Linked DNA regions of Sus scrofa. The protein of the gene in region 2 interacts with the protein of the main gene of each other region in a pairwise test. Links are inferred from orthologs where the notes say so. Each region holds a gene or a part of one and is shown on either strand. Other genes may lie near its edges.

The links. The genes of interacting proteins can lie anywhere in the genome.
Region 1: the proteins of CRK (region 2) and PTPN4 interact in binary tests that used the Homo sapiens proteins (3 or more experiments, as listed by UniProt). The link is inferred for Sus scrofa from reciprocal best matches to the Homo sapiens genes CRK and PTPN4.

Annotation. Positions count from the first base shown.
Region 1 is NC_010457.5:31,316,947-31,322,309, forward strand, and holds part of PTPN4 (tyrosine-protein phosphatase non-receptor type 4), read right to left. Parts: intron 5,120-5,363; coding exon 4,971-5,119; intron 3,614-4,970; coding exon 3,478-3,613; intron 1-3,477. UniProt on the Homo sapiens protein: Phosphatase that plays a role in immunity, learning, synaptic plasticity or cell homeostasis. Regulates neuronal cell homeostasis by protecting neurons against apoptosis.
Region 2 is NC_010454.4:47,681,117-47,687,168, reverse strand, and holds the start of CRK (adapter molecule crk), read left to right. Parts: upstream 1-1,972; 5' UTR 1,973-2,737; coding exon 2,738-2,804; intron 2,805-6,052. Other genes in the region: uncharacterized protein LOC110255905, read left to right, coding at 1,261-1,457. UniProt on the Homo sapiens protein: Involved in cell branching and adhesion mediated by BCAR1-CRK-RAPGEF1 signaling and activation of RAP1.

The sequences.
Region 1 (5,363 bases), on a different chromosome or scaffold from region 2:
GACTTATCTCAGGAATGCAAGGTTAGTTTAACAGCCAAAAAATCAGTCTAATACACTACATTAATAGAATAAAAGACACAAATCACATGATCATCTCAATAGACACAGAACAAGTATTTGTTAAAACTGAATACCCTTTCCTTATGAAAACACAAACTAGTAAGACAGGGAACTTTCTCAACTTGATAAAGGGCAATAATGAAAAAAATCCATGGCTAACATGATACTTAGTGGTGAAAAACAGAAAACTGCCCCCCTAAGATCAGGAATAAGACAAGGATGGCTGGTATCACCACTTCTATTTCACGCTGTACTGAAGGTTCTTGTCAGGACACTTGCACAAGATGAAGAAAAGAGATGAGACAAGATGAAATGAGGTGAAAAGAAAAAAAAAGAAAACCAAGGTATCTATGCTGCAAAGGAAATAATAAACTATATTTACAAATGATATGATCTTGTATATAAAGAATCCTAAGGAATCTTTCACATATGCAAAAAATTATTAGACTTAATAAATAATTTCAGCAAGGTTGCAGTATACATGATCAATATGCAAAATTAGTTTTATTTCTATACCCAAGCAATGAGTACTCCTAATATGAAATTAAGAAAACAAGTCCACTTACAATAGGACCAAAAAAGACTAAAAAACTTAAGAATAAATTTATAGAAACAAGATTAAAGAGAGTTATTATAGCACCCAGCAATTCCACTACTGGGTATATACCAAAGAGGAATGAAAACATTTTCACACAAAAACATTACACAATGTTAATGGCACCATTATTCATAATAGTTAGAAACTGGAAATAATCCAAATGTCCATCAATAGATGAATGTATGGTATATCTATTCAATGAAAAAGGAATGAAGTACTGATATATGCTATGGAATATATAAACCTTTTAATAGTATGCTAATTAAAATAAGTCAATTACAAAAGAACAAATTATAGGATTCCATTCATATGAAAGGTCTAAAAGAGGCAAACCTACAGAGACAGAAAGTAGATTAACAGTTGTCTAGGCTGGGTTAGGGGAAGGCTGGGGAAGGTATGGGGGAATATGGATACAGAGTGTCTTTTGGGGGCTGTTGAAAATGTTTTAAAATTAGATAGCAATGATGGTTGCAAAGCTCTGTGATATACTGTGAAAACCAATGAACTGTACACTTTAAAAGGGTGAATTTTATGGGTATGTGAATTATATTTTAATAAAGCTATACTAAAATTTTAAAAGAAATGATTTATATGAAACAATTATAAATTGGAATATTGGTTATTGCTAATATTAGGGAATTATTGTTAATTATAATTTGGTATGATAATGGTATTATGGTTTTGTTTAGAAGGAAAAAATACTCCTTTTCTTTTGGAGATAAACATTAAAATATAGACAAATAAATATAAAATATATACGATGTCTAGGATTTGGTTCAAATATGGGGAGAGTTAAGTGGCAGTATAAAGGAAACATTCAAAGTAGTGTCCACTATATCTTATTGTCTATTTTTGTGTATGTTTGTATTTTCTATAATTAAAAGCTAAAAATAATGACAGGCACCTATTAGATCACATATGTCAATTCACTTCAGAAACCATAATGCCACCAACAATGCTAATATTCCACATTGGCTTAATATAGAAGACAATCTTGGAGTTCCTAATGTAGTTCGGCCAGTGAACAACCCGACTGGTATCCAGGAGGATACGGGTTTGATCCCTCGCCTTGTTCAGTGGATTTAAGATCCAGCTTTGCTGTGACCTGTGGTGTAGGTTGCAGACGTTGCTCTGGCTGTGGTGTAGGTCGGCAGCTGCAGCTCTGATTGCACCCCTAGCCCAGGTATTTTCATATGCCATGGGTATGGCCTGAAAAATTAAAAAAAATTTTTTTAACATTAACTCTAAATTTCATGATTCCTCTTCCAATTCTTGGGACATATTTCAAAGTCAGTACAGAATATAGTAAGTAGCTTAATTTCTATGATTTTTATTGTTGCAATTTAAGTTCTTATGTAAAATAAGAAAGGCAATTTCACCACAGCTGTTTCACTGAAAGCAGGTCTATCAAGATTCTCCAGTTTAGGGATACCACTGTTCTTAGCATTCCATTTGACTGATAACACAGGGCAAGTTCCTCTGTTACCCCTGTTTAGGCAGTCAAGAATTAACATGCTAGCATGGTGTTGACAAACATTTTATGTAAAAGACTAGACAGTTACTTACTATCCAGTTATTTACTATAGTTAGAGTAATATTTATTTACTATAACTAATTTTTTAGGTTTTGCAAAGCACATAGTGCCTGCTGCAACTTCTCACCTCGGCTGCTGTAATGTGAAAGCAACATAGATATTATGTGAACAAATGACTATAGCTGTTTCCAATAAAACTTTATTTATTAAAAAACAAGTGGGGGAGTTCCCGTCGTGGCGCAGTGGTTAACGAATCCGACTAGGAACCATGAGGTTGCGGGTTCGGTCCCTGCCCTTGCTCAGTGGGTTAACGATCCGGCGTTGCCATGAGCTGTGGTGTAGGTTGCAGACGTGGCTCGGATCCCGCGTTGCTGTGGCTCTGGCGTAGGCCGGTGGCTACAGCTCCGATTGGACCCCTAGCCTGGGAACCTCCATATGCCGCGGGAGCGGCCCAAGAAATAGCAATAGCAGCAACAACAACAACAACAACAAAAGACAAAAAGACAAAAAAAACAAAACAAAACAAAACACAACAAGTGGTAGGCCAGTTTCGGCTGGTGGGCAGTATTGGCTGATCTCTGTGCAAGGGTTATTAGCTTCTTTTTTTTTTTTTTTTTTTTGTCTTTTGTTGTTGTTGTTGTTGCTATTTCTTGGGCCGCTCCCGCGGCATATGGAGGTTCCCAGGCTAGGGGTTGAATTGGAGCTGTAGCCACCGGCCTACGCCAGAGCCACAGCAACGCGGGATCTGAGCCGCGTCTGCAACCTACACCACAGCTCACGGCAACGCCGGATCGTTAACCCACTGAGCAAGGGCAGGGATCGAACCCGCAACCTCATGGTTCCTAGTCGGATTCGTTAACCACTGCGCCACGACGGGAACTCCATGGGGTTATTAGCTTCTGGCAGGGAATTAAAAAGAGAAAAATGTGGTTTGGCATATACATTGACAACAAAAGTCATGTTGAAAACACATGTGAAATGCATGTGAAATATGTAGTACCGGAGTTCCCGTCGTGGCGCAGTGGTTAACGAATCCGACTAGGAACCATGAGTTTCGGGTTCGATCCCTGCCCTTGCTCAGTGGGTCAAGGTTCTGGCGTTGCCGTGAGCTGTGGTGTAGGTCACAGACGCGGCTTGGATCCTGCGTTGCTGTGGCTCTGGCGTAGGCTGGCGGCTACAGCTCAGATTCGACCCCTAGCCCGGGAACCTCCATATGTCGCAGGAGCGGCCCAAGAAATGGCAAAAAGACAAAAAAAAAAAAAAAAAAGAAATATGTAGTACTTACAGGTGTTTGAATCATCATGGCTCGCTGATCTCTCATTGTTCTTACAATATCTAGTGGATAAACTGGTTGATTGCATTCAATGAGACACATGGCTGTTTCCATAGTAATAAGAACCCCAGTTCTTCCAATACCAGCACTAGAAAAGACAAATGTGGGACAAAATCTTACTCATACTGTTCTGTTAAACTTCTTGTGCTTTTTGTGAAGAAAATTAGAGTACCAAATCATATTATGGTAGAAGAATTATTTAGTTTTAATATTTTAGAGTAACAAAAGTAGCAAGCCAACTGGAAACTATTTTGAAAACCAAAATAAAATTCACACTAAATACAGATTAAATGGTTTGTATCTACACTCTCTCCCACTCTTGGTTTTAAAACACAATTTTAAAAGAGTTACATTTCAGTTTTTAAAAGGTGAACAAAGTACAGAAGCTTTAAAATGCAAAGTAAGAATTACAATAATAAATCATTAACAAGCATGCAAAAGACAGCTATTTTACACACTCAAAAAATCAGTTTTTAAAGCCAAATTTAATTTTGATTTACCACTGAGATAGTTAAGAACAACTCTGTGAAGTATTCTCTGTGAAGGTGGATACAGTAGCGACGGGGACTAAGGATATGAAATGGCCAAATGTGTCCACCATTCCTGCATTTTGCCTCTCATATATTTGGTCTACAATCTGCTCTTAAAAAGTGTTGGAAAGTTTAAGAATAAGCAGATACCTTAATACATCCTCTGAATAAAGCACTTAGTAATAAAGGTGATCAGGATGAGGAGAAAGTAATTTCTGGATCTCAATCTCTGGGTCAGTGGCAGTAAGGCTAGAGTCATTGTATTTGGTCCATTGGGGGCAGAAGGAGGCCTGAGTCTGCAAGGAAGGGAGTGGTCTGCTACTGTTCACTGGGAGCTCTTGGAAGTGGCAGACCCTGTGATGGCACTGGGCAGAGCCATTTCAAGACAGGTGAGATGCTCACCAAATGTCCTAAAAGGGGCCAGGAAGGAGTACCTTGCTGGAGGGAGAAATATAAACTTTGGACAGCAACCAAATTCCTACAATTTTGTATTTCATCAAATCTGAGATACCATTAATTTTAAGACGTAACTCAATTTCAGAGATGTTGAACTATAAAAAAGACAAACTTCTAAGAGTCAATGTGGTATTATTTTTACTCATGATAAAATTCCTGCCAATCATATGTTAAAACATACCCTTTGCCTCCTACCTTCAGAGCATAACTCTGAGTTCTCTCTAATTATTAGAGTGACAACAACAGCTTAAAGAAAAAATAAAAGAGGTATTCCTTTTACAAAAAACGATGTATGTAGGAACTCCTGTGTGGCTCAGCAGGTTAAGGATCTGGTGTTGTCACTGCTGTGGTTCAGGTTTGATCCATGGCCCGGGAACGTCTGTATGCTGCAGGGGCAGTCAAAAAGAAAAAAGAGACATATTTTAGTCAGTTAATCATAAAAGACAGAAAATAAAATACCTGCAATGAACAACAATAGGTTCTTCCTTGCCGGCCCTCTTATTTCGTACATGACAAACAAAATCCAGAAAGTCACTTGAATCATCAGGGACCCCATGGTCAGGCCAGGCTATATACTGGATCTGAGTGAGTTGACGACTCTCATTTTTCTAAGTATAAATGAAAAATTATGCACCTGACTTAGAAAAAAATCCTTAAAATATAAACATTCCTGTCATTTTAATTTTAGAAGAAAAGCAAAAGAAACTATCCACATTGCCTCCCCCTAAAAAGTAATGTATAAACTCAATAAAACCCAAAAGTTCAAGTTCAAGGAAAAAAAAAAACATTTTATAGAAACACTTGTATCCATTTAAGTATCAGTTACTTGGATTATTATTCTTCTTATAAACC
Region 2 (6,052 bases):
TTTGTGGCATGTGGAGGTTCCCAGGCTAGAAGTTGAATCGGAGCTATAGCTGCCGGTCTACGCCACAGCCATGGCAACGCCAGATCCGAGCCATGTCTTCCGACCTACACCACAGCTCACGGCAATGCCAGGATCCTAAACCCACTGAGCGGGGCCAGGAGCGAACCCGCAACCTCATGGTTCCTAGTCAGATTCCTTTCCGCTGCGCCACGATGGGATCGCCTCATTCCAGGATTTGAATCTCAGTTCCCAACTCAGCAGCCATGTGTCCCAGGACAAGTTACCAAACTTCTGAGCTTCATCTGTAAAATGGGAATAGTTGTAAAATACCAATCCAGAAGGTTGAGAAGATTAAATGAGAGACCTACCTAAGGGCAGTTAGCACTATGCCTGGCAGGTAAAATTCCCTAAATAAGTGTTAGTTATTCTTATGAGGCAATTATGGAGTGCCTCCTACACTTGATGCCTAGCCTTTGAGGAGATCTAGCATGGAACACGGACTTGTAAATCGAAAGATTACAATACAATGGGTAATACAACAGGTAGAACCATAAGAGAGATAACCTGGGAGTTCTAACACCTGGAGACTGTTAAAAGTTTTACACAGGGTAGCAGCACACTCAGAGCTATAATTGAGAAAAATACAACTTGGCAGATGTGTGCTATGCAATTAGGGGCAGCAAGACTATAGAATACCAGAGACAGGCTGTCATAGGAATACAGATATAGATATGGAATATAGAGATAGCAGTGATCGTGACGGCAGGGAGAGTAGAGGATATCCAAGGCCAGACTTAGAGAATCTGGGCAGATGACTTGAAAGCCTCAACAGAGAGGACTCCATATGTCTCCTTGACTTGGCACACTCTGGTCCCTTTGTCTTGAATGCTTTTCCCCAACTGCCATTCAATATTCAGCTCAAGCCACTGGGAAGTACTCTTGGGTTCCTCTAAAGCATGGATTAGGGGGCCCTGCTCTATGTTCCTAGAGCCCCTTGTCCTTACCCCCATCAAATGGCTTGGCATCCCTTCGTCATGGCCTGTTTCCTGGTTCCTCCCACGGGGTCTGAGAATTCCCCGAGGGAAGGGCCCAGCCTAGATGACCTCTGCGACCGAAAGGCAAACGTGGTGTCAACTGTTTGCTGAATGAATCAGTGAAAACAAGAGCTTAACAGATCTGAAAATATTCAGAAAATATTCGTCTCAGGGAACTCAGGCCCTGAGGCCACATCACCTTTTCTACTCCAATTCTGTCTCCTAGTTGCTGCCCAGAAGCACCGGGCCTTCCAGGAAATTGAAGCCTGGACTAGCCAGAACCGCGTGGCCAACAGCGCACAGACAAACTTCTGCGGACTGCTAGTTGAGGCCCCGCCCCTCGGCCCTAGACGCCGCCTCTCCACTCTCTGCAGTCCCTGTCCCCACCAGGCGGCGACGCCCAAGAGTCCGCATGCGCAGTGAGCGCGCGAGCCGCCCCTTGCCCTTCTCCCAATGGCGGGCGGCAGTCCCCTTCCCGGCATCCTCCCGGAGGCAGGGAGTACGTCATTTCCGGTGGGGAAGGCCCGCGGCCGCCGCCGCCATTTCAGGCGCTGCTGTGAAGCGGAGACCCGAGCCGGTCCGCTGGGCGGCGGGCGCCGGGACTGGAGGGGCGCGCGCGGCGGCGGCGGCCCAGCGTGTAGGCGCGGAGTCGGCCATGGCGGGCAACTTCGACTCGGAGGAGCGGAGTAGCTGGTACTGGGGGCGGCTGAGCCGGCAGGAGGCGGTGGCGCTGTTGCAGGGCCAGCGGCACGGGGTGTTCCTGGTGCGGGACTCGAGCACCAGCCCCGGGGACTATGTGCTCAGCGTCTCCGAGAACTCGCGCGTCTCCCACTACATCATCAACAGCAGCGGCCCGCGCCCGCCAGTGCCACCGTCGCCCGCCCAGCCTCCGCCCGGTGAGGGACGGAAGGGACGGGAGGCCCCGGGCGGGGGTTAGGGCCGCCGAACTCCCCAGCCTAGCCGGCTGCTCCTCGAGAGCTGACCCCCACGAGGGACTTGGGCAGCGGGCTGGAGTGACCGTGGCCGGAGGGCAGCCCGCTGTCCGGCTCGCTCCCACGGACGAGCGGGAGTGTGTGGGGGAGGAGGAGCCGCTGACCCAGGCCTCTGGGTGTGACTTGGGAGGACAGCCCAGGGGAAGGGGAACTGTTTCGGCCCCAGGGTGGGGCTAGCGCCCGTGCAGGGCCAGGCAACGTGGGGACAAAGAGCTGAGGGGGATGTTGGCACTGCGGGGGCATCACTTGGCAGCGGTGCCCGGAATGAATCCGATAATCCTACAAGTGGCTTTTTAGGCTTGAAACATTTCCTGCAGTGTTGGAGAGCCGGGTTTGGCTATACTCCCCTGGTGGCCTTTGGTAGGAAGTCACCGCATACCGGCCGGGAGGGATGGAGACACCCTCAGGAAACCGGTCAGCTTTTTCCTTTCTTGGGCATTTTTCCAAAATACTTTTACCGTCCTCTTCCCCCGCGGAGGACGAAGGTGGTGAGCTAAGTGCCTTGGTTATAGAAGAAAGGTCCCCTGTCACCAGCCCAGAATAAGCTGATGCCCGGCTGACTGTGCCGAGGAGATCCTGGTGTCCAGCGACTGTCTTTGACAATTAAGGGGTTGTAGTTTTCAAAGCGAATAGTGGAGGAAAGAATTTTTTTTTTTTTCAGGAAATAAACCAGATATACGCCAATGGAAACAATCCCTTCCCTGAAAGTGAATGGAACTTCATTTTTCCTTGGACTTCAGCATTGTCAGTCTTATACTGCAGGGTCTCTCCTTGCTCAGTAGGTTGGGGGTTGTTGCCTGAATTTTCCTAGATATGTCTGTCTTATACATAACATGGGCTGTTTGGGGAGTGTGAAGAGGATTTATGCACTTGGTACTTGAAGTTTGTGAGGTACAGAGTAATTCTGAGGCTGTTGTTACCTGTGTAACAGCACCTAGGGTCTTAGTGCCTTTTCACGCTCACCAAGCTGAAGCAGTTTCCTCCTGACCAGTTGAAACTAGATTCAGGCTAGTCTCACATGAATTGAAAGTCTCCTGAACTAGCCCTTTGCAGACTTGCCCTTTTAGAATAATCCTAATTTAGATTTATCCCCTCTGACCCGAAATGGGAAGATGAAATAGTTTCTCTTGTTAACACATACCAATTTTAAAAAGAGTGTGGAATCTTTAAGCCCACAAATTATCCTAGGTCTTTCTCAGTCTGATTGGTTTTATAACATTATAACCTGAGATGGGAATAGGTATGTAACATGTATTTACCCTAAACCGGATGTATTCGAGTTTTTACCACCTTCCTAGTGTCTGGGGTTTTGCGTTGCTGGGCAGTGACACAGCAAATGATCATTGGAACTCAATTCTTGACCTTTTGTTTGTGTATGTGTTTTGTTGGTTACAAAATTTGGAAATGGCAGGCAGTTTTGTTTGAGCTTTCCCCACATCTTGGTGTTAGAACTTTAATCTCAGATCTTACCTTAATACTGAGCTCCACCTTTTCATAACAGATAGGAGGTCAGATCCTTGGCCCAAGAGAGAAGGTGAAGATTGCCAGAGTTTGTGGATGGGGTGTGGAAAGTTCATGGCTATTGTAATTGTTCTTTCCGCCATGTACCCATTTTCCACATAGGGCAATTGATTCAGTTGCGTCTTTTTAAAGATTACTTAATCTTTGTTCTGCCCAGCCCCCATTGAGCTCTTTTTCTTTGGAAACCACACAGAAGAATTTCTTGAACTTAAGCATATACAATATTAATAGCTAACATTTATCGACTGGTCATTCTGTGCCAGGTACTTTGCTGAGTACTTTAGTGCCTTGTCTCGTTTACTGTCTATGACAGTCTAGTGAGGAAATTACTGTGATTTCCATTTATTAAAATATTTACATTTTAGGGAGTTCCAGTTGTGGCTAAGTGGATTACAAACCCTACTGGTATCCATGAGGATGCAAGTTTGATATCTGGCCTTGCTCAGTGGGTTAAGGGTCTGGCTTTGCCATGAGCTGTGGAGTAGGTCTTATTTGTGACTCAGATCCCTAGTTGCAGTGGCTGTGGCATAGGCCAGTGGCTACAGCTCTGATTTGACCCCTAGTCTGGGAACTTCCTATGCTGGGGGTGCAGCCCTAAAAAGCAAACAAAACAAAGCAAAATTCCATTTTGCAGGTAAAGAAACAGGGTCAGAAATTCAGTAACTTGCCCCAGGTCACACAGCTAGTCAATGACTGAGCCGGAATTGGAACCTAGGAATTGTGACCTGAGATCAGACACTATTGGACTGTGTTCTTTTTTTTGTCAAAGCCAGTTTCCTTTTGAGATCCCTTGAGGACTGAACACTTTTGTCATTGTCTTGGGTCCCAGGTTCTGCTTAAAGACCAAAAGGAAAGGATGACAAGAAAATGGCCTTCAAGAGTTCCCGTTGTGGTGCAGTGGTATCTATGAGGATTTGGGTTCAGTCCCTGGCCTTGCTCAGTGAGCTGGGCATCTGGCGTTGCCATGAACTGTGGTGTGGGTCGCAGAGGTGGCTCCGATCCCACGTGGCTGTGGCGTAGGCCGGCAGCTATAGCTCCAATTAGAACCCCTAGCCTGGGAACTTCCATATGCTGCGGTTGCAGCTCTAAAAAGCAAAAAAAAAAAAAAAGAAAAAGAAAGAAAGAAGATGGCATCTGCTGTCTAAAGTCAGTGATGCTGAGGCTTTTAATAACCTTTTTTGGCAGATTGAATGTGGGAAATAAGCTTTTTGTTTAGGATTATATAATGTATTTTGTGGATATAGGCATAAGATGAATTTGGATGGAATGTCTTAGATAGAGATTTTAGAGGCATAGGAACAGAATAGGCCAGGAATTCTCAACCTTTTCCTGTAAACCCATTTTTAGCTTAACTGTTTAGCTCTCCCAGGCTATCAGTGCTGCCATCGCCTGGAGGTGCCCTTACTGCTCCAGGGCCAAAGGGCAGGGCTTGGTCAAGTCTACTGGTTATACTCTGCAGGTGTACTTCTTAGGAAGGTTTTGCAATCATTGATTGATCCACTAGTTTCTTTCTTGTGGAACATGAGGTTTTTACTAGACCTTGTCCAGTAGACAATCAATAAAACTGAGTTAAGTATGAGTTAGGAGAGTAGCTAAAAGCTCGTACTCTGAAGCCCGGTTTGAACCTTCTTTGCTTGCTGCTTACTACTTAATATGACTTTGGGCAAGTTCTTTAACTTCTCTCTGCCTCAGTTTCCTCATCTGTGATGAAAGAGAGGAAATAGTAATACTGACCTCATAGGGTAGTGGTGAGGATTTTAGTGCATTACATGCTTAGGAATGGAATTAGCATGTAGTAAGTACTCAGTAAGCATTATGTGTATTAATTTATGTGGTTGAGGGGGAGGAGTTGAAGCAAAATGGGAAACTGTCCTCCTTTGAGAGGCTTGCAGCACGACTGAAGAAGTAAGTGAAGAATCCAGTACATGGAAGTAGGATGACATCTGTTACCTGCTCAACCCAGAGCTACCCACCTGTTGTCCTAGGCGTGAGGGGAGCATAAAAGCTTGCCTCATTTTGGGGTCGGGTGCAGAAGCTAGGGTGGTAATTGTTGGTGTTGGGCCAAGCCACCTCTGGAGATCCTAGGGGACTGCTCATTACCCACTGCTGCCTTTTTGTGCCTTCAGCATCTGTTTCATTTGTTTACCTCATCTTTGTAGTTCTCAAACCTGGTCTTCATGTTTCGCTCTTTAATATCAGAGTATTTCTCCATTCGGTAGGTTCGGAGTTCTAAAGTGAGTTACTTAAAGGTTTTAGCACCCCTCCCTCCAATTTTTTTTTCATCATGAAAGGAAGTAGGTTTATTTATTGCAGAACTTCTCCAAGTTTTTGCTATGCTTATGTGAAATTATGGTTCTATAAGAGAGGCAGGCATTGGATACTGGATTTTTCAAACCAATTTGACCACAGAACTTTTTGAGAAACATCTTGAATTTCTGTGGAATCTTCTTTTGGAAACCGTGCAGCAGACCCTGGATTTAGGAATGAATCAAAAATTTTTAAAGG